Linked DNA regions of Astyanax mexicanus. The protein of the gene in region 3 interacts with the protein of the main gene of each other region in a pairwise test. Links are inferred from orthologs where the notes say so. Each region holds a gene or a part of one and is shown on either strand. Other genes may lie near its edges. The genes, in order: ccnk, zhx3b and atxn1a.

What was found.
Region 1: the proteins of atxn1a (region 3) and ccnk interact in binary tests that used the Homo sapiens proteins (3 or more experiments, as listed by UniProt). The link is inferred for Astyanax mexicanus from reciprocal best matches to the Homo sapiens genes ATXN1 and CCNK.
Region 2: the proteins of atxn1a (region 3) and zhx3b interact in binary tests that used the Homo sapiens proteins (3 or more experiments, as listed by UniProt). The link is inferred for Astyanax mexicanus from reciprocal best matches to the Homo sapiens genes ATXN1 and ZHX3.

Annotation. Positions count from the first base shown.
Region 1 is NC_064408.1:54,981,986-54,989,624, forward strand, and holds the start of ccnk (cyclin-K), read right to left. Parts: upstream 5,061-7,639; 5' UTR 4,731-5,060; coding exon 4,534-4,730; intron 4,423-4,533; coding exon 4,341-4,422; intron 3,196-4,340; coding exon 3,064-3,195; intron 2,651-3,063; coding exon 2,545-2,650; intron 2,441-2,544; coding exon 2,383-2,440; intron 2,212-2,382; coding exon 2,042-2,211; intron 1,902-2,041; coding exon 1,699-1,901; intron 1,108-1,698; coding exon 1,074-1,107; intron 960-1,073; coding exon 891-959; intron 633-890; coding exon 58-632; 3' UTR 1-57. Other genes in the region: 24-hydroxycholesterol 7-alpha-hydroxylase, read left to right, coding at 6,131-6,307, 7,379-7,514. UniProt on the Homo sapiens protein: Regulatory subunit of cyclin-dependent kinases that mediates activation of target kinases.
Region 2 is NC_064420.1:49,086,005-49,093,643, reverse strand, and holds the start of zhx3b (zinc fingers and homeoboxes protein 3), read right to left. Parts: upstream 3,933-7,639; 5' UTR 3,387-3,932; intron 3,304-3,386; 5' UTR 3,137-3,303; intron 1,870-3,136; exon of another isoform or gene 1,650-1,869; intron 1-1,649. Other genes in the region: uncharacterized protein RAB5IF, read left to right, coding at 5,091-5,207. UniProt on the Homo sapiens protein: Acts as a transcriptional repressor. Involved in the early stages of mesenchymal stem cell (MSC) osteogenic differentiation. Is a regulator of podocyte gene expression during primary glomerula disease. Binds to promoter DNA.
Region 3 is NC_064410.1:43,978,461-43,986,099, reverse strand, and holds the start of atxn1a (ataxin-1a), read left to right. Parts: upstream 1-4,080; 5' UTR 4,081-4,256; intron 4,257-7,639. UniProt on the Homo sapiens protein: Chromatin-binding factor that repress Notch signaling in the absence of Notch intracellular domain by acting as a CBF1 corepressor. Binds to the HEY promoter and might assist, along with NCOR2, RBPJ-mediated repression. Binds RNA in vitro.

The DNA.
Region 1 (7,639 bases), on a different chromosome or scaffold from region 3:
TTTTGGTAGACGGTATTTTGAAATGAGCTTCAGCTGCACCCCTTACACAACCCGTCTTCATCTCATCCATGCTCCGCGATTCATCCCAGACACTGGCGGCATGCCAGGGGGCATGGGTACCTGCGGCTGGCCTGGGGGGACTGGCGGAGGGGGATACCCAGCAGGAGGCAAACCTATTCCTGGCGGAGGAACCGCATGTCCTGGGGGCATGCGAGGGGGAGGAGGAGGGTAATTGTGATTGTAGCCTGGTGGAGGGTAGGCCGGGGTGGGCGGTGGAAGGTTAGGAGGTGGGTAATTTGCAGGTGGTGGAGGGCCAGGAGGTGGAGGGTTTGGAGGAGGGTAAACGTGCGGGTGATAAGGCATTCCATATGAAGGGGGCATAGGGGCATATGATGGTGCATCTGTCTTCATCATGGACTGCAGACTTTGGAAGCCCTCACCCGACATATATGAACTAGAAGTGGACATTCCCATGATGTAGCTGGAGGGGGGTGGAGGTGGAGGCCGATGAGGCAGAGGCGGTGGAGCTCCATGGGGCAGAGGAGGAGGTGCCTTGGATAAGTCTGAGTCAGCTGAGGCTGCTGGTTCTGTCTCTGTTGGAGGGGCCGGGGCTAAGGGTGGGCCTTTGCGATCTAAATAGAGAAACATTTAAAGTATTGAAGTAAAAAAATATTAACCCAAATTTATTAGTGTAGTTTGTTTAAACTAAGTATTAAGCTCGGTTTTACAACCATCAATACATGAAAATGTTAAAATTATTTAAAGAACTTCAAAGATGGTAATTAAATAAGTCAATTATATTTTGAAACTTTTACTAGGTAATTTGGTTCAGTTTTCTTAGACAAGTATTAAACCTAACCCTGGAACAGTGCAACAACTGAGGTTTTTACCAAGTAGCTGAGTAACTGGTAAGGGAGGCATTGGACTCTCTAGCCGTGGTATTTTAGAGCCAATTTGCTCTGCAAATAAAAACAAAAAAGGTTTAGCATGCATGAAGTTAAACAAAAACGTCATTGACAAACAGCACATTTGTAACCAGCTTAAATAGTTCTAGGAAAAAAGCCGATCTATACCTGTGGCAACTTTTGACTCTTCTTTTGGCGAAACCTAAAAAAAGAGGATTAAAAATAATTTTCAATACATAACTAGCAATTCATTTTAGTGGGGAGTACTGTTCATGACTAAAGATAAAAATGCTTACATCCTTGACAATTATGCCTCACTTCATGCATATATGCATAATCAGTCATGGGGCATATAACTAATTTTCACAATGATGCAAATCCTGACTGATTATATAAGAATGCTTTTTATTATGAATCCTGCTCTTGGTAGTATCCCTTACAAGTGGAGAAGATTTCCAATACAATTCGTGCAGTTGAAGAAGAAGTGGCATTTTAGGGTTAGAGTTACGCTTGGGTAAGCCCTGAATCTAAAAATCAAACACTTCCTTCATGGTGCAGCTATTTTTTCAACAATTAACAGTGTATTTGTATGTTCGCTACACATCTCACAAGCCATCTATCTGTAATGGACATGAAATAAAAGTTTAAACCAAAAATATTTGACATGGTACAAATGTACAGCTAAGCATTAATAATCTCAACATATTTACTTAAAATAAAATTAATTACATATACAAACATTAAATTAAGCCTTTCAACCCAACAACTCTGACAAAATAAATATTCAACTAACGTGCTGTCGTTTAAGCTGCCGTGGGGGGCTGGCCTGGGGAGAGTTTTTCTTAGGTGGAGGTGGAGCTGCAGGGTTTTGACCTCCAGACTGGCCTGGCTGGCCTGCAGGAGGTAGCGGTGGCTTGTCTTTCTCCTGCAACTGGGGCTGTTGTGGAATGGGCTGCTTGCCCTGAGAATATAGATCCAGGATTTGGTGGCAGATATCTGAGAAAGAAAGGCAAGCAATTATCTTTCAAACTTGCTATAAAGACTTTTGTGTCATCTTGTTCAGTTTTAGCACTCCCATAACACACACACACACACACACACACACACACATTTAAATACACATTAAAGCATCCTACCCTCCAACAGCTCCACAGGAACATCTTGCACAAACTGTTCCCACCAGCGACGGGATGACTGCTTGGAAGTCCATTCCTGAATGTCAAACTTGCACAGACGACCAGCCAAGTACATGACAGCAATAGCTATAATCTCTGGCTCCCACTGAAGAGACAGCATTGTGCAGAGGCTGGAAAAACCAAACAAAATTGCTTATACCACACAGTCTGCTTAATCTTTAATATTAAAAATGAATAATAATTCCCTAAATTTCACAATTGCAGATTGCTCTAATTTACAATAAACCAAACAGCTCTCCATGAGAAGGACAATTAAAATGCAGGTTGGTTTTAATGCTAACCTGTCATTCACAAAGGTCCAGGCCATTTGCACCAGCTTCTGCACTTTGTTCTTGTCTCCTGAAAAACAGCAGTTAACAAGACAAACAAACATGCAAATAAATAAACAAACAAAACCTAAATGTCTGTAATGCAACATCAAAAATGGCACCAAAATCATATACCTTTGAGTTGTTTGGCATAACGCAAAAGGAACTGATATGGATGCTCTACTTGCAGATCAAACTTTATTGTCTGAAGCAATATTCTCTCCAACACCATAACTTCTTCCTGTTAATAAAAGTTATACAAACCAAACTATTCACAAAAATCAACATTTACAGTACAGTTTGAGGTCAGAAATAGGCATGTTTTCAGAATCTGAATGTCTTCAAATCAAAACACTACAAAGTAAAAATGTAACAAAAAACTTAAATGTACAAGTCCATATGTTACATATGCCTTTTAGAAAACAATTTAAGCTAAATGTATTCAACTAGAGTGTTTGCTTCTTTGCAGCATCCTTCAAGCTATTTATTTTCAGAATAATGAAAAAACAATTAAACTGATCCAGCAAATATTCCAATGTGTAAAATGCTGACAAGACTGTAATCTCAACTTGTTTTACTACTTACATATGGAAATAAAATAAGGTGCTGAATACTTACAGACCTTACAGTATGTGCTTCTGACTCTATGTTTACCTTTGGATCATCCCCAAACTGGGCGAACTGCACATCATTAAGCAGGCTGCGAGCTGTTTTTATTATGTCTTTGCACTTTTTTGGAGTTTCCTCAACCTTTCCAGCCAAGAACAGACAGCAAGCCCCTGTGACCTGGAAAATTAAAGCAAAACAACCTCTTTCACCTAAACTGTTGTAGGACAATGTCAAGCAACATAATGATAAATAACCGTATTCCAACGGTACTGTTATGCTATGTTTTTTTAGTTGATAAGAAAATAAATGTTGACTTGTCACAAGTTTGTTAAAAGACTGTGCCAGTAACCCACAGGCATCCATGAACTCTTTCCACTTCTCGCCCCTCATCCCAACAATACTGCCCTCCATTAAAATATTACTAAATCATAGCTTATGAGAGATATTAGGTAAGACTCATGTGAAGCAGAGGTCACCAATATGGTTGGGCAGGACTGTCCTACCTGGACTTGTAAGCAATTTTAAGATGCCCATTTTATTCCTTTCATTTTTTTTATTTACTTGACAAATTAAACCATTTACTGAATATTAATTTATTGATCCGTTGTGATTTAAATTGCCATTGTCATTATTCAATTGCTGACTACATAAAATGTTGAGATAACCAAGCTACTTAATATACAGGATTTGTAAGCTTAATGGAAAGTTTTACATGTTGCCATTTAGGTAAGCAACTATACATTTTTTTTTCCTATATCGCTCTTTAAATAAAAAGTGTTACACTTTTACATTAATTTGTTAATTATTTGGAAAAACACTGGAACTATTTATCCCCTTGTTATTAAAATACTAATAAACCACGTTATTACACAAAGTCTTTGACCATTATCTTTATGTCAATAAATATTTATTATTAATTAAAATGCCTATTACATAAAAATAACATTTTAATTCATTAATATCTACAGACCCCCCAGAGTCCTACAAAGACAGAATACGACCACTTTGGCAAAACTACAATGGCAAAAAGCACATCACAAATATAATTATAAAATAATATATAATATGATATATATATATATATATATATATATATATATATATATATATATATATATATATATATATATATATATAATAAAAATATAATTATGGGCAGTATGCATCTGACTCCTGTTTTTTTTCTTCACAAATTTTTTTACAAACAAATCAGGAACTGTTTGTACACTGTAAATAGGATCCAGTGCAAATCTGGGGTGGTTTATCCCCATACCTACAGTACTGTTTCAAGACAGTGTTACACAGAGCCGGACCACACTTACATATCTCGGGAACTGCTTGAAGGAATGAAACATGTAGAAGCGATGGAAGTAAATAATCCCTGTGGCCAGAGTATCATAGTGTCTGTTGAAGGAGGAAATGTTAAGGGTAAACAGGTTAAAGCGGTAAGTCGCGCATCAGCACACAGTAATACAGGGTTTTAAAACAACACGAGCAGAAGGAAATGAAGGATACAGTCCCAGTCGAGTTCCAACGTCGAATATGAAGCGGGCCCCCTCTCTCCGGTATCGGGCCTCAGTGGCCGGATCCAGGCCCTCGGACTGGGATGGGGTGTGGGCCAGGTCCTTCTTGTCCCAGTACCAACATGGCTTGATGTGGTCCAGATTAGTGGTCAAGCTGCTGAGAGCGGAGTTCTCCTTGTTCTCCTTCATTTGACACAGATCGGAAGTGCTGCTCACAAAGCTGGAGGCACAAAGAGCTGCTGCTTCTCCTCAGCGCGGCCGGCGGACCCGCGGCTCCTTCTCACTGAAGCTCAGCTCCGCTCCTCTCCCTCAGCGCCCGCAGACTCTCCCGCAGCCCGGCCCGGAGCACTGTGAGAATACCGGCGCTCTACACCGCGTGCAGCGCCGCTTCTCTGAGCTCTCTTTCACACCTGAACACAGGAACACACACACAGCCGCACCGCACTCTTCCTCGCGCGGGGAGGACGCTTCAAACAGATAAGAGCGACGGTCGCCCCCAACTGGTGGAGAATGATTCTCCTCCGCTTGCTGCCTCTCCACTCTCTCCACAATCTCTCCACTCTCTCCACAATCTCTCCACTCTCTGCACCTCATGCCTGGAGCTCCCACCAACATGTGGTGGGATCACTTATCAAAGTAAAAAAAAGTATATACACTTAACTGGCATTAATTAGCATGCATATTGAACACAGCTAAACCTATGTGTGAAATCCTACATTATTTTTTTATGTGTATAATAACAATAACAACAAAAATAATAATAACAACAATAATAACAACAACAACAACAATAATAATAATAATAATAATTATTATTATTATTATTGTTTTTATTATTGTTATTATTATTATTATTGTTATTATTATTGTTTTTGTTGTTTCTGGTACAATGGACTACACAGTATTTTCATTGGAGATTTTCCATTTAAAGGAAAATAAGTAACAGTTTATGCTTTTTAAACTTTGTGATCATTGATGACACAGTTCATTTTGTTGTTAACTCTATCCTATTATGAGGAAATCTATAAGGGGAACACATCACATTTTCTTCACTGAAGGGGATCACTTTTTACCACAGTCAGTGGGGCCGTTTATATTTAAGTGAAGTTTAAAACAAAATAATCAATATTGAATTGATTGAATTAAGTTATAAATGTATAGGAATGAATGGAGATAAAAGGCTAAAAACTAAAATCAGTAAACTAAAAACCAGTAACTAACTGCTTGTCCAGGAAATGTCTTTAATTCTAGAAAGTTGATGAGCTGATTATGAAGTAGCAGCCAGAGCACGTCTGAAAACGTATAGGCTTACATGCCTTCATTACTGAAATATTTACTGTGGTTCTATATTTAGAGAATATTTTTTAAACATAGATGAGCTCTTGTTTTGATTATTTGCTCCATGTGAACTCATTTACCCGGGGAGACTCTCTGGCGGGTATTCCTCCGGTCAGTGTGGGCTGCTGAAGTAGCGGCGCCTGTCCTGTAGGGGAGTCAGCCTGGTATACTGGCCCTGTTAATATCGGTCCCACGACTGAGGAGAAACCACTAGCCGGACAGGAGAGCGTTCGTTAAACTACTTAACTGTGATGGAGTGGTTTACCCTACTTCTCTTAGTGACTGTCGTCGTCCTTTGTTTTCGGCTTCTCTTCCTTCAGAACAACCCGAACGCCCCTCCGTGCATCAGAGGATGGATCCCGTGGGTTGGAGCTGCCTTTGAGTTTGGAAAAGAGCCTCTGCATTTCATTGCACGTGCAAGAGCTAAGGTAAGCGTCTCAGTGTTAAAAGCAGCACGTCCTGCAGACCTTATATTGTCCAAAATGCCATATCAATGTTAAATTCCTACTGTAACAGCTTTTTTATACCTGTTTTTTATATTTTTATAGCAAGAAGGGGCACTGTAAAAAAACATGATGGATATGTTTTTTTCACTACAGTTTTTTAGGAGATGCACTACATTTACAGACTTTATAAGATAAGTTAAAGCAAACACATCGACTGTTGTACAATATTACGTATTAATGTTTCACAGTTGTCAGTGTTGTTTCACATTAAGGAGTTTTGAATATATAAAAGTAATAATATAAAAATTAATCTGCAGTAAAATCAAATCTAAAATCAGATTATCATGGATGTTATTTACAAGTCCCTAACATTTCATGTACTCCTTATAAATGCAGCCTCCTGAATAGCCAGATGTTAATGACATCACACTCTGCTGATCTTTAGAGGACTATGAAAGGTCAGAAGTCCAGCTCCTCCCCTTTCAGCAGCAGTGTTGAGTGTCTGTGTTTGGACACACAGAAACACAGTAGAGTTGCTGTATCATAGTGTATCATAGTATCGTTGTGAGCAGGTAGAAGTGTTGAGAGAAACACTGATGAGAGACAACATTTATTTTAGTTGTCAAGCTATTTCAGCATTGTCTTTTAATTTAGACTCAACCACAACATGAGTAAAACAACTACAACATACAATTCTCAGAAAGTAAGTTTAGCTAACAGCTTAACATTTAAATTTGATTGATGCTTATTCATTTTGATAAGTATTTTTGGTATGATATCTGCAGAAGAAAAAAAAGAAACATAATTTGTCCATTTCTTTCTATGGGATAGTAGATAAAGACAGTAGACAGTAGTCTAATTTCAAAGGCAGTGGACTTATTTAATTATTTGAATTTAAAACAGACAGTTTTAAAGTTTAATGTGTTTCAACAACAACAAACTACAACAACAACAAAACTAAAGTTATAGCTGGTCTGGACATCATGCAGCATGTAAATAGTATTTTGTGTTGTTGTTTATTCTTCTAAATGAGCATGCTGTATTGTTTTCCAGTATGGGCCTGTCTTTACAGTTCTTGTTGCTGGGAAGCGGCTGACCTTTGTTACGCTCCATGAAGACTTTCGAACCTTTTTCATGTCCAAAGATGTTGATTTTGAACAAGCAGTGCAAGAGCCTGTTCGCAATACAGGTAATCTTCTTTGCTTCCCATGACTCTAGTAACTCGAACTGTGTTTGCAGTCATTTGTGTTTGTGTAAGTAATATATATATATATATATATTTTATATTATATTATATTATATATATATATATAT
Region 2 (7,639 bases), on a different chromosome or scaffold from region 3:
ATTGGAGATGCGGGGGATTCCTGGTCGATGTTGATATTACTCATGTATATATCAGTCAATGTCGATGCCAATATACATATTTATTTATTAACTTACAGAGAGACTTTACACCCCAGTATAACTTAAAAAAAAAAAAACAAATTTAACATATATTTTTCTTATATTTTAGCTTCCAAACAGCTTTATAACAACAATAAAATGAAAGGTTTCTCCTAAAAAATTAGTTTAATTTTTGGTCAGTGTCGGCCAGCATACAATAAATACATAAGCAAGTATCAGTGTAAAACATTGGCCAAATATAGGCATTGAACCAATGTTTCTAAAAGAAAGCTATTATTGCTCAATACAGAGAGAATTTCGATATCATTGTGCATCCCTAAATAAGATATATTACGATAAAACTTTTGGCATATCTCACTCTCTCCACACATTTCCCGCCAGAGTAAGTAGCATCACTGTGTGAAGTTTCTCTACAGCAAATTTCACAAGTTCACACTTAATCCTCTCTGAACCTGAGCTGGATGATATGGGCAAATTTACAACACAAGAGATTTCCTCATTTCAGTCAATACATTAAAATTTAAATAGATAATACCTAAATAAAGCCTCAGAACTACCTGATGACAAGAGTTTCCCAGTTGATGTAATGTGCCCTGTAATAAACTCCATCAGGGACAGATGCCGCAATCACCACCACTGAAACGTTTCACTATATATATATATATATTGATATTGAAATGTTTTCTAGCCCTACCTAAAGCTAAATAACTGTTTACATCTACACCACTAAATTATAGGGTGGCAATCCACTTTGTCAAAACTTTGACATTTTATACTGTGGTTTACTGTAGTAGACAACCGTTTGGACACACCGCTTCTCATCCAATGTGATTTTTTTTTACTATTATTTTGTTATAATGTACATTTAAAATTTAAAATGAAAGATATTAAAGCTATACAGCTAAACATGGAATTTTTTAAGGTAAAAAAGGTGTTAAACAAACAAGAATGTGTTTTATACTATAGATTCTTCTAATTAAGTATCACACATATCTTTGAGGACAGATCTGCTCACTCTTGGTATTTTAATCTCAGTGTCTTCATGAGGGAGAGTCAGCTAGAATAGTTTTCTCAGCATCTTGAAGGAGTTCCAGGAGGTGCTGAACAATAGTTGCTGCTATGTTATATTAATATATATTAGATAAAGATAAAGGCTGTAACACACACACACAAAACACTAGAATAACTGTGTGTGTGTGTGTGTGTGTGTTAGTAACACAATAAAACCAAAGCACACACACACACCAAGAAATTCTGAAAGCAGCCTGGACCTGATCTATGAATTGTTGCCATCTGGAGTGTGTCGGGGCGACACACACACCAACACACACACACACACACACACACATCAAACCCAAAAAGCCCCCCCACCCCAAAAAAACTAGACTCGCCCCCCACCTCTACTGTCGCCATCTTACCCAATACACACCTCAGTTACCCAAATCGTGCGCGCGCAACTTTCCCCCTACACACACGCACGCACGCACGCACGCACGCACGCACACAAACAAAACTCTACATACAGTTTATGTTGCCCCCACAGGCGCGCGCCCCCCTAAACAGAGAAACAGGTACTAAAGTAGACCTACCGAGCGCTCGCGCGGTCCAAACAGAACCCCGGGGCAGCGCGCGGGTGTAAATGAATGGAGAGCTTAGCGTTAGACAGGTGAGAGATACAGACAGTGAGCGGTCGGGTCTCGCGGCCTCCTGCTCCTTCCTCTCCGCGTGTGTTTATTCCGCTCGCGCTGCTGCTGCTGCCGCTGTGCTCAAACAGGCCCAGAGACACCAAACGCACCCCCACCTCCGCGGGTCACGTGGCTCGCTGCGTCATCAGCTCAGCCCTGCTGACATCATGGAGCAGCAACACACCCACCTCTGTGTGTGTGTGTGTGTGTGTGTGTGTGTGTGTGTGGCTTGCTGGGTCATAATTTCAGCAAAATATTTTATTCACAATTGTCTCAGCGTTTTAAGGAGCATAAATCAGAAATGATGACCTATTCTGATTTATATTTCTTTTATGACTCAAAGCAATGGTAGTTTTTGATATTTTTTATTTATTTCATTATTGTTTGTTCATTCTTTTTTAAATGTTTGTGCTGGTGCTGTTTAATGTGAAATTGAAGTTGTTTTTGGTCTTTATTTATCTGTATTTTGGACAGACAAACAGACAGATAATAGTGATAGATAAATAGTAGGGATATATTAGGGCCAGACGCAAAAATCTATAACACATATAACACATAATATATGTTTTGCTGAAATTTTGACCTAGCAAGCAACACGTCCACCCCTGTGTGTGTGTGTGTGTGTGTGTGTATTAGTCTGTATTTTGGACAGACAGACAGATAAATGGGCTAGAGCTAATTATCTTACATGCAAAAAACAGGTCCATTATTTTTTATTTGTTCGCCGTTTTTAAGAAGGGTCATAAGCTTTTTAAATAGTTGTTAATGCTGAGAGAATCAGATCTATTATATAGTATTGATAAATAAATAAAAGGTATGTGTTCGGCCTGGACAATAAGGCAAATATATATATATATATATTACAATGTATATATATTAATTTCAGTCAATAGAATGTAATTCTGATATGGATGCAAACTGTATAAAAGCCATATTTTGACAGACAAAAAGCAACAGCAGTGGCAGATCCTGCAATATAAATACTCTTTCGTGCACAGATCACTCTCTGTAATAAAAATCTTTAAGCACGGATGGTATTCTCAATATGCTTATTATCAATATAGTAAGACATTTTATCACAATAAAATTAAATATCAGTATATTGTCCAACTCTAGGATATATAGATATATAAACAGACAAACAAATAGGCAAACAGATAGACAGACTGACATCCAGGCTTCACAACCATTCCAAACCCGAAGCTTTAAACTAAAAATTGTACATCACAAAATTATTAATATTATTTTTAAACATTACTGTTGTATTCATTTGTGTTTTTTTTTTTTACTGTCATGTCATCAGTTGTTTTTGTGTCTCATTGGTACACTTAAGTCTGTCCACATCAGCTTTTCCTGTGTAAGCCTGTGAGTGGCACAGTTTCCCTGCTTACCTTTGCCGCTTTTGAAGCTCCACAGTTGACTGACAGGGTGACCCAGGACCCACCAACCACAATTACATCCATTAGGGGCTTTTTTCCAATAGTGCCACCTTGTCCCTCCTCCTCTTCCAGCTTTACCAGCAAGCTGATTGGCTCTATGTTGAAAGGTAGGACTCTATCTGTAAAGAGACTTTGTGTTAAGCATGAGGAAAACTTCCAGTTATATTTCAACCACCAGGTGGTCACCTTATGAACTGCTTACCATTTTCACTGCACGCAAATTCTTCGTTCCGAAAGCGAATGCCTGTGTTATATTTAACGCCCTGGGACGGTCGGATGGTGGTAGCCTGCAGCCTTGCAGATAGACACACATAGAGACAGATTACGACAGATTATGAACAGTATAGAGGAGTTTTAGAAGAACATCTGTGCCTATCCAGACAACATTTTTTTAAGGAAAGGCATTGGATATTGGACAGTAAGATAATGCTAAATCACATACTTTACCCATTAGAGCAGCATGGCTTCACAGAAGAAGAGCTAGGATGCTGAACTTACCTGCCTGCCCTCCAGACCTTTCACAAATAGAACATCATGGAAATCACATGTAATTTGTGTTCCAAGTTATATTGTGAATAAAATGTATGTTTATTTCGACTGGAAAATGATTTAATTCTGTTTTTTATTTACTTCTGCATTGTAGATGACCCCCTCAGTCCTCACATACACAAACACTCTCAATACACAGTGACTGAAACTGTTTCCATCCCTATTAGCAATAATTGCTGCTAATTCTGAATACCACCTAGTAAGGTATATTCTCTACCTGCTGTGACCATGTACCTGTTACAGTATGTTACAAATCTCTACACCTTATTCTTACACACAAATAGACTGTAATGTGTTGGTACTGCACTGTCCTGTCTACTATATTGTCTCATGTCTGCTGAATTTATAGAGTGTTCTAGTTCTATGTTGCACAATTTGTTGAACATCTTTACTTTATTGTTGTCTATATTGTACTGTTGTTCCATGTTGAACTGTATTGGTTCCGGAGGAACAGAATTTCATTGCACTGTTTATTTGTACTTGTTCATTTGTACTAGATGGATTGACTTGACATTGTTCACATTTTACTTTTAACTTTTGGGAGTTAGGACTGTAATGTATTTTATTATGTTGTTTAATTTGAGAAATATTTTAACTGTATTGCATTTATGCTTTCTTCTATTGCACGTTCACCTAGACTGTATGTTCCTAAAACATTTTTAAAATGAAATAAACACTTTTACTGAACTATATATCTGTTTATTGTCATTTGTTTTGATGTCAAATGTTTTATGATTTAACTGTTTATATATTTAACTGTAAATAACTTTAATTAATAATAAAAATAAATGTATGTATTAATATAACTGTATTTTTGTCATTTTTGTTTTGATGTTGAATGTTTTATGACTGACTATGGTTTCGTTTGATTGTATTATTACTTTATTTCTTGTTCACTATTTTATTTAACTCTACTGTAAATAACTTTAATTAATAATGAGAAATAATCTATGCATTAAGTTAAATATTATTAGTTATCTTTTTTTACATTGTTGATTTATTATCATATAGCGTAAAATAATACTGTATGGTTAATTGAATTCATAGTGCACTATTTATTTATTTATTTATTTATTTATTTATTTAACGCTTCCTTGCGCACTCCTCTCCAACAGGTGGCGCTGTTAGTGTTTTCCTTGCCATTTCTCGGATTTAAAGGAAATTTTCTGATTGGTTGAGAAGTACAGACGTCGCAGTGTCTGAATGGCCAGAGAGGCGCATGCGCAGTGAGGCTTTAGCACACAGCATTAATGAACGGCGTTGAAAGCGAAATAGAGCCAAAAGAAGCTGCAGCTTAAAAACATAAAACCACAAAACTCATCCGAGATCGAGACAGAACCAGAACCCGAACCCGAGAATGAAGAACAGCACCAGCAGCAGCAAGAAGAAAGAGGAATCAGCAGCTCAGAGTAACGGAGTCAAACTGAACACATGGAGTAAAGCAGTGAGCAGCAAAGCAGTGTGGGAGGATAAGGTACATATAAACACATTATATATGGCTATAGTAATCAGAGAGAGAATGTTAGTATTTGGCTATACAAGTCAAAGAAAGAAAAAAAATTAAGCATTTTTGTGTATAGAAATCAGAGGGGGAATGTGAGTTTTTTAGTATAGAATTCAGAAAATATGAGTAACTATAAATCAAAGTCAGTGAATGTAAGTAATTGAGTACATAATTGAGAGAGAGTTTGTAAGGGTTTAAGTATTGTAATCAGAGAGAGAATGTGAGTATTTGAGTATAGTAATCAGAGAGAGATTGTGAGTATTTGAGTATAGATATCAGAAAGAATGTGAGTATTTTGAGTATTGTAATCAAAAAGAGAATGTGAGTATTTGAGTATAGTAATCAGAGAGAGAATGTGAGTATTTGAGTATAGTAATCAGAGAGAGAATACGAGGATTTGAGTATAGAAATCAGAGAGAGAATGTGAGTATTTGAGTATAGAAATCAGAGAGAGAATGTGAGTATTTTGAGTATTGTAATCAGAGAGAGAATGTGAGTATTTTGAGTATTGTAATCAGAGAGAGAATGTGAGTATTTTGAGTATTGTAATCAGAGAGAGAATACGAGTATTTGAGTATAGAAATCAGAGAGAATGAGTAGTTCAGAGAATATAGGATTTAGAGAAAGAGAGATTGGGAGTATTGAAATACGAGTATGAGGATGTAAAAAAGAGAGAGAGTATGGAGTATTAATGCCACCCAGTTTACAATATTACAGCAACACAAAAATGTCAGGAAATATACACAAAAATATACCAAAAATATATGATAATGAAAAATAATTTCCCAAAATATGTGTTTTGGTATTCAGTGACCAAGTAAACAAACAGTATGTAAGTAGAGACATTGCACACAATGTTAAAAGTGAGAGGTTTGAGTGTAAAACATGGGTACAGCGATAGAGACTGGGTGTGAGAGACTATAAGCACTTAAATAGGAGGGTGTGAATGAGTACAAAAGTGTAAAGAGGTTTATTTTGAATATAAAAGGATCAGAGAGAATGGAAGTATTGGGGAGTGAAGGTGAGTGAGTGAGTGAATGTGTATTGTGGTATAAAGGTGATAAAAGGAGTGTAAGAGGAGTATAGAAGAGAAGTAGAGGGTGAAAGAGACTTAAAGTATAGAGAAGAGAGTATAAACACAAATTAGAGTGAGAGAATGTGAATATATAAAGGAAACAAACAGTATTAGGGAGACTATATTCGTAAAATATGTTTGTCTAATGGTAAAGACTATGAATGAGTGTAAATGTAAGTAAACAAATGAGTATGAGGATGCAAAAGCTGACAGACAGTATAAAAGAAAAACTATAAAAGACAAAAATAAGGGGTATAGGGAAGAGTGTGAGGACTGGAGCATAAGATTATCCTTTAGTAATTACAATATTACAGCAGTGTAGAGGACAGGGCAGAAGTGTCCAAAATATGTATAAAAAAATCTATATACAACGTGTAGAAGGTGAGAGAGTTTAAATAAGACTGTAAAACAGAAAATTTTAGTATTAATGTATAAAGAGGAGTATATTGAATTTGTCATGAAAGTGCATATGAATAAAGAGAGAGTATGAGGGTATAAAGAGTCAAAGACAGTATAAATGATGGAATATAGAAGACAGAGAAGATGTTAGTATGTTGTTAGTATAAATGAGTATGAGAGTATAATGGAGAGAAAGCCATTGATATGAGAGTGTAGAGAGAAAGAAAATAAGTATAAAGGAGTGACAGTGTGAGTGAGTAAAAAAAAAAGGAGACTGTTCGAATATGAAGAGAGAGAGATTACAAAGAGAGTTGAGAGTGTAAACAAGATTAAATTGTGATAACGACTGGGGAGAGACAGAGAATAAGTGAGTAGTAGGAGAGTATTTAGAGTGTAAAAAGTGTAAAAGAGGCGAGTTATCAGTGTTAATGGTGAGAGAATACAAGAGAATGTGAGTAAGAGAGTGTTAAGGGATTAAAAGAGGCTATAAAGGAAAGAACATTTATCTTAAATTGAGCCACTTATCCCTACCCTTCTGTTTTGCATGTACACACCTAGGGGGAGGGTGTCTCGATTCTTGTTAGAATGGAGGGGGAGGGGAAACCACTGTATTACCATAGTTTAATGTGTAGTTTCAATATTTTAGGGCTAACAAGCACAAAGAAATTCACAAGTAGTTTGTCTCAGTATGTAGTTCAGTAGCTAGCTAACTTTCCTGTCCACCTTAAATGGTGCAACAGATGGCTGCAGCATTTAAGGTGAAACGGAAAAATAAAATAAAAGCTAGTCCAATTAAGGGTCGGACAATAATCATTTTTTACACTTTCTGAAGGCATAAAAGGCCATAAAATTAACTAGTTAACCAGCAGTTAGGTTGATGAACTTTAGCGCTCCACTGCTATAACTATAACTGCTTAAAAGGTTGTAC
Region 3 (7,639 bases):
AAGTTTTAAATGGCAATATACTGTAATGTAATCTAATACTAAAAGTAGGTTATATTATTGAGTCATAACAACATTGCAGATCCATTTAAAAAGAGATTCTATATAAAAACTCCTACAAGTAACCATCTACCTTTTTAAAAAATATTTCTGTTTATTATTCCTAAATTGGAAGCACAATCCCAAGAAGGGGGTGAAGATTAGCACACGCCTCCTCTATCCTTTTTTTTATGTTGCCGCTAATTTGCATTACTGGGTAGTCAGCTCGCTTGAGGAAAGCACAGCAACCCAGCTTTGATAGATCAGCCAACAGACGCCTGTGCTGATTAACATCACACTAGGTGCTTTTGCAATAACGATATTCAATATTATTGCATATGATACAATATGACACATCTCTAGTATGGAGAGAGCACCTAGCTAGGTGAACTAGGTCAACTGAGCTATCTCTGACTCCAGCTGCTGGTGGCAAGCAGCATTATCTGCAAATGAACCAGTGATCCTCAGACCGACCACTTAACAGTTGAAGAACCCCCCTTTCTGTTGTATTCAAAGCAATGTCTCTATCTTTTTAAAATGATTTTAAAAGGGGGTCCACTACTAAAAAGAAACCATTTTGCTTTGAGTGTCCTCAGTGTCCTCACAAGCTCAGAAATATAAATTCACACATAGGAAAATTTGTTCACACCCATCTCTGGTACATTTCTCCTGAGGTTCACTTTGTTGAAGGTAGACTGTGTGTGTTTATGTGTGTATGTCTATGAAATTCCTTGAGGGCAGATCACTCATACGCAGCACACATACAGTCCCATGCCCAGAGAGAACAGCTATGTAATGAGGTAAACATGAGCTAAAAACACACTCTCACTCTCTCTGTGTCACTCTCTCTTATACTGTCTCACTCTCTCTCACTTAAACAAACACAATAATCAGAAATAGTATTATTTAAGAGAGCTGTTCCCATTCTCTTTAATTTATAAATTGTGGCATTCAAATATATTTATTTATATCTTGCATGAACAGGCCTGTGTATTGTGCAGTCAGTGTAGCTGAACAGGGCAGGAATGGTAATATATTCCCGGGTGGAGCGAGTAGAGTATGTGGTCTCCACAGTAACATAGCGACAAACACTTTGGAAAAGTCCCATCCGAGTCATGTTGAAGAAAAAATGACAGTGATTTTGCCGGCCTCTCTCTGAGTAAATAACATTTCTGGCCCTAAATTGAATGTTCGAAAACTCAAGCAGCAGCAGAGATAATGCACTTACATTTTCCCAGCTTGTTTACAGGGTTTTAACTGTGAGTGGTGGTCTAAAAGCCTTTTTAATGGGCAGAGCTTGATGTTTTTCTCTGTGTCTTCATTCGCAATTGCATCTGTCACCCCTAAACTTCACCTGTGGTTTTTAAGTGTTTCTGAGTGAGGACTGCTGAAGACATTCTCTCAGCTATGAAGGTGGATTCCAAGAATTTTAAACCTGAGGTAACGGGGTTCCGGTAACTTCCCCAAAGCTTACACGGCCTGTAGCAAGAAAAGTCATATACTATATTGCCAAAAGTACCGAGAAAGCTGCTCATTCATTGTTTCCTCTGAAACTAAGGGTATTAAAAGAGTATTTCATGCTTTTGTTGGAGTAACTGTCTTTACTCTCCAGGGATTTCTACTAGACTTTGGAGCATTGCTTAATTGCATTCAGCAGCAAGAGCAATAGAGAGGACAAGATGTTTGGATGATCATCACCCCAACTCTTCCTTAACTCATCCCAAATGTATTGGATGGAGCTCCACCATTCCAGAGAACACAGTTCCACTGTTTCACAGCTCAATACTGGGGACTTTTATACGACATTTTATCGACACCCAATTTTTTGCAATACAAACCTTTAGACAAGATAAGCTGTGTATGTGCATTAGCAACTCTGTGTCAACGATGGGTGTAACTTGAAGTAGGTAAAGACATTTAAAAGAAGGTGTGTTCCAATTTCAAACATTTAGTGTACTAAAAAAAGGGAAGTTATAAAATTTGCATATAAACAGGAAAATCAGCCAACATGAGATCATTTTTACTTTATAAAATGACTAAAAAAATGAATACATACTAAACACAAATACATAACAAACCCAAATTAATTACATTTAAGATTTCTGTTTATTTACACAGTTATCAGCACTTCTACTTACCCTGAACTCCTAATGATGTCACACAAAAGGATAAGGGTGTTTATTATTAGAAGTACTGTCTTACCCTTTGTGGTTTAGGCCAATTCCAGCATTATGTAAAAGGTATTTGGACTCATAATGTACTGCGATGTGTTGTGTACAGTATCGTGTGGTGCTGTAAACACAGGCCATGTGTGTATGTTGCACTGAGATCCAGGAGGAACGTTGTTTTGTTCCATGTTGTATTTGTGTATGGTTGGGAGTTCTTGATCTTGATCTCAGAGCACAAGGTTAGCACCTGTTATATAATGTGAATATGATGTAACCATTTCAGGTGAATACAGGCATATCTTCAAACCTTCAATTAAACATTCAAACCTTTAAACCTACATGTTACTAGTACAGTGTATGGGGCACATAATCAACAAATAGTTGTTAATATTTAAACCAGCTTTGTTAGCAAAAAATAACAATAATTTCTTATTATATATAAGTTAGTTGACAGACTTGCTGGGTTAAGCTCTTTCAAACAGTTCAATGGTTCAAAATACAAAGTTATAAATAATAACTAAAATTATTTTAACAAATTTTATACTTTGATTATTGAAGTAGAGGTTTGGGATTTTATACAACTTTATACAAATGGGTTATGGGCAGACCTTTTTGAGCATATTGTGTTGATTTTACGGATTTTTATATATTTGTATGCGTTGCATGATTTTTACTTCCTACTTATTTACAGTAACACTAACAACGTGAAATGAATAACATTTACAGTATTATCTGGTTACTATTGCACCTGCTAAGCGATGGAATATACAATATTAGGCAGCAAGTGAACTGTCAGTACCTGAAGTTGATGTGTTGGAAGCAGGAAGCCACTTTGATATGGTCTAAATAGTGATGGCTAGATAACTGGGTCAGAGCACATCCGAAAAATTAACCAGGTCTTGTGGGGTGTTCACATGTATACAACGGTCAGTACCTACAAAAAAGTGGCCTAATATTCACGGGGAACAAAGACATGCTTAAAAATAAAGATCTGATGGTAATGTCTGAATGACATGCCAAAAGTCACGGGATAGTAGTATATAATTTCTCTCATAGTGTACTGTACAACCCTGTGTCAGTATGATGACAATAATGGTGAATGCTAGAATGCCTGCTAAGGCTGTGATATAAAATATTAGGCAGCAAGTAAACTACCAGTATTTATAGGGAGCAAAAACATGTTTAAAAAAAGATCTGATGCTAATATTTGAATGGGATATTAGTATGTACTGTAAATTGATCATGAAGTGTTGGAATGCACTGGAGATCTTGTCCTGTTGTAGTGTACAGCTCTGTATCAGTATTATGGAACTGAATTGAGCGGTGCATTGTGGTGAAGTCCTTGTTTTGACAAGTCAAGGCTGTTTTAGTACCTACCTACACAATATGAGGCAGGTGCTTTTAAAGTTATGGCTGGTCCGTGTACAGTATACTGCCTACACACTTTATTGCAGTGATGGTGTCCCAGATTGAACGCAGTACCATTATGACATTGACATGGTCATTTGAAAGTGCTTTTATTCTTTTATAAGTGAAGCTAACATTTGCATTCAATGCATGCCCTTTTTAGTCTGTTATAACCTCTAACAGATTTATGCACAAGTCTCCAGTCTGCTGCTTCTGAACTGACTCTGAATGTAAGTAAGTAAGCCCTGCTAAAGGCTGCCCCCCTCCTCCTCGGGTTTTTTTTTATGAAACAGCCCAGGCTTCAAAGCCCTCAGCTAACGGGGCCGGCCAACTGCTCCATATTTGGGTTACACATTCACACACTCACACACGTACACACGCCCTCTCTCTCTCTCTTACACACACACACACACACACATATACGCACGCACACATACACACATACACACACACGCGCGCACGCACGCACTCACTCACTCCCTCGGTCACACACTTCCAGGAGGTGGGGGCATAGAGCCACAGAGCTATTAGCTCTGCTGCAGCAGACGTCGTGCTAGTTGAGGGGAGACGGTTCCACCGGCTAAAGCGGGCGCAGGAAGCCCCAACACGGAGAGCCGCGCACTTCACTGCCCGCTACAGCGCACAGTAAGTCCGCCCAATGCTCACCGGTTCTCCTGCCACTTTTACCTGCCTTTCCACCCCGAGTGAGAGAGAGAGTAGCGGAGAGAGAATAAAATGGCTGGAGCGAAAAGGAGACGCAGCGGATCAGAGACTGGCGTTCATATTTAAAAAAAAAAAATACAAAAATAAAGCTAAAAACTGAATATTTATCTTACTTTACCTGCTCTATCCAAATCCGTGCGTCTGATACAGTAAGTTTGACTGGATGACACCGTGCAGGGAGGCTGTTAAGTGAGTCTAAAACTAACACAACAACTCGAAGCGCAGAGCAGAGTGAGCGAGAGTAAGTGGGAGAGAGGGAGTCAGAGCGCGGGGGTTGGGGCGAGGCGAAGCCGGCCAGGGCGCGCTGTGGCCGGGCTGCTGAGGGAGGAGAGGGCGCTGGCCAACTTCCCCACAAGCTTCTCCGCTAACTAAGCTACACACGGCTCCGTGTTTTCGCACAGCGCTAGATAGTCGTTTGTACTTTTTGGAAACCGCCAGCGTGTCGCTTGTCGTGGCTTTTTAGCGTAGTTTTGTCTCTGTTTCCTAGCTGAGGAGACTCGCTTATGGGAATCGGGCTGCTGAACCAGAAAACACACAATTGCGGAAGTGTTGCTACGCGCTACGCTGTTTATTCGTAGAAACGGGGCGCCTGAGTTAACGTTACTGACAGCTCTCTCTCTCTTTCTCTCTCTCTCTCCTCAGCCACCACCGCGCTGAGTAAAGGTGACAAACAGCAGCTGGAGTTCAGCTCCTCCATTCATACTGTTTCTACTTAAAGCGGGATTGAGTGTGTTTCATTGACACTGCTGTGTGCGTGTGTGTGTAGTTAGCCTCCGGTGTGTGTGAGTGTGTGTGAGTCCAGCTCTGCTGGTTATATAATGAGCTGCTGGGATCTCTTCTGCTCCAGCTTACAGTATCTCCCTCTCTCCTCCTCCTTCTCCTCCTCCTCTTCTGTTAGTTTACATTCACATTATTTTATAACTGTGCCTTAAACACACGGAGATATATATGACTTCCTAAAAATATCGCTGTTTATTTTAACTGCAAAAAAAATATGGAACATTACAGTTGATGAAGGTGCTCGTGCTCATCTTACTGTATTGCATAAAGAGAAAAAGTTATGCAGTCAATAAAATATATGAATTATTAAATAGTAATAATAATAATAGTTGTATTATATAAACAAAATAGTTTTATTTTGATAATAATGTATAATTGCAATTGACTTCATTTGCCTAGGGGTGGACTGTTGCCCTCTGACCCTGTCCAATAAAGATCACTTTAATGCATAAACAAACAAATAAATTAATAAATAGAATGTATTTTCAATTTTAAGTTATTCACAACCTGCTCACATTCCCAGTGTGGTAAAGTAAGTAAGTAAAATTTATTTATACAGCACTTTTCACAGAGAGTAGACACAAAGTGCTTTACAACAACAAAAACATAGAAAATAAAATATACAATTGCCTTCCTAAAACATATACAATAAAATAAATAACAAAAGGAGAACACAGTGTTGCCAGGTACAGTTATCCAAATGCACGTTTAAAGCTTACTTTATCACAAAAATAAAATAAAATAATTAACATATTTATCAAAATATAGATAACCATTAACTGACAACTATCGAATTTGAAGCAGAATTAATGATACTATTTTAATAACATAATAGAAATAAATGTAATAACATTAAATGTATTTAAAGGTCCCCTTCCAATTAAGGTCACTTAAATGCATATGTAAATAAATAAATACATAAATAGAATTTATTTGCATTTAACCGCCATTCACAATCAGTCACAACCATATTTATTAAAATTATATAGAAACAGAATTATTGATAATTTGTTAATATCATAAAGAATTAAATGTACTTAAAAGTCCCTGTCCAATAAGAGAAACTTTTTCAATGCCTATGCAAATAAATAAATAGAATGTATTTGCCCTTTTACATTTCCTGTACTAAAAAAGCTTACTTTATTGTAAAAAGGGTAATTAAAAGCCCCTGTCCAAGAAAGGTCATTTTAATGCAGCATATCTAAATGTATTTGCATTTTTACTGTCATTCACAACCTGCCCACATTCCCTGTGCAATAAAAAGCTACTTTATTGCTAAAATAGGAAGTTAATTATTTAAGATTATTAAAGATAATAACAGAATTAGTGATACTGTAATAATAATATTAATATATATATATATATATATATATATATAATTAGGAGTTTCTAGATTATTGACATCAAATGGATGTTGATCTGAAGTAGAAGTGCTCAAATACTAAGCTTCAGTACAATCCAGTACATGCTACTTTACTGCATGCAAATATAAATAGGCCTACATCACTAAAATAAAATAAATGCATAAAGGAAATGCACTTTTTTAAACCATTTCTTGTCACATTGATGCTCAAGGTACTCATTTTATTGATCTAATGCAGGTCAATTTAATGCAAATATAAACAACAAACAAATAAATAAATGTATTTGCATTTTTCGGTTATTTATAGCATTGTATGTGCAGTTGAGGTGTTCATGTATCTTCACAAGCTCAGTCAGCTTCATTAAGCACTCATAAATGAAACAATGAATGAATGAATGGATGAATGAATGAATAATTGAATGAATGAGTAATGAGTAACCAATACAGTCGCATTGTTTTCAGATGATTCATAATGTCATGTATGTGATCAGGCTGTTTGGTTTCCCTGCTCAAGCTGGCAGTGGCTCACTGGAGCAGAACTGGAGCAGATATGTTGTTTTCCAAGCGAGAAAAAAAAAAGTTTTTAATCTCAAGAGTCTGACACGGAGGCGTTAATGCATCTAGCAACCGAAGAGGGAGTGTTGCTGATACAGACATAAGTGAAACAGTTATACAAGCCTCAGGATGCCACGGAGAGGGACGGATCTGTTGTGTTTCTCGCTCCTTTCCAAGCTGCTCTGGTTATATGATCCTCTAACTAGACTGTATCGTGCAGCTGTAAGATCATAAGAGCTGAGCGAGGAGTGTTGTGGAGCCGTTGCTTATGGCTGTTCTGTGAAGATGTGCTTGGAGCCTATTGTGGTGCTGTGTCAGGCCTCCAGTGTTGATCTATCCTCAGCACCACTTAATTTTAAATGCTGATGAGTTGTAATTAAGACAAAGTGTGGCCTAATCACAAGCGTGCTTGTGCGTCAGCTCATTTGTCTGTGTTGCACACACACACACACACACACACAAGCACATGCGCACACCCACATACACCCTAACACACACCTGCCACTGGCTCCTAAGTTGCTCATTCTTGTCAGTGTTTCTGTGTAAGTGCAGCTGCACCTTTAAAGGCACTAAATGTGTCGTAACGGGCTCAGTGAGCTGGAGCATG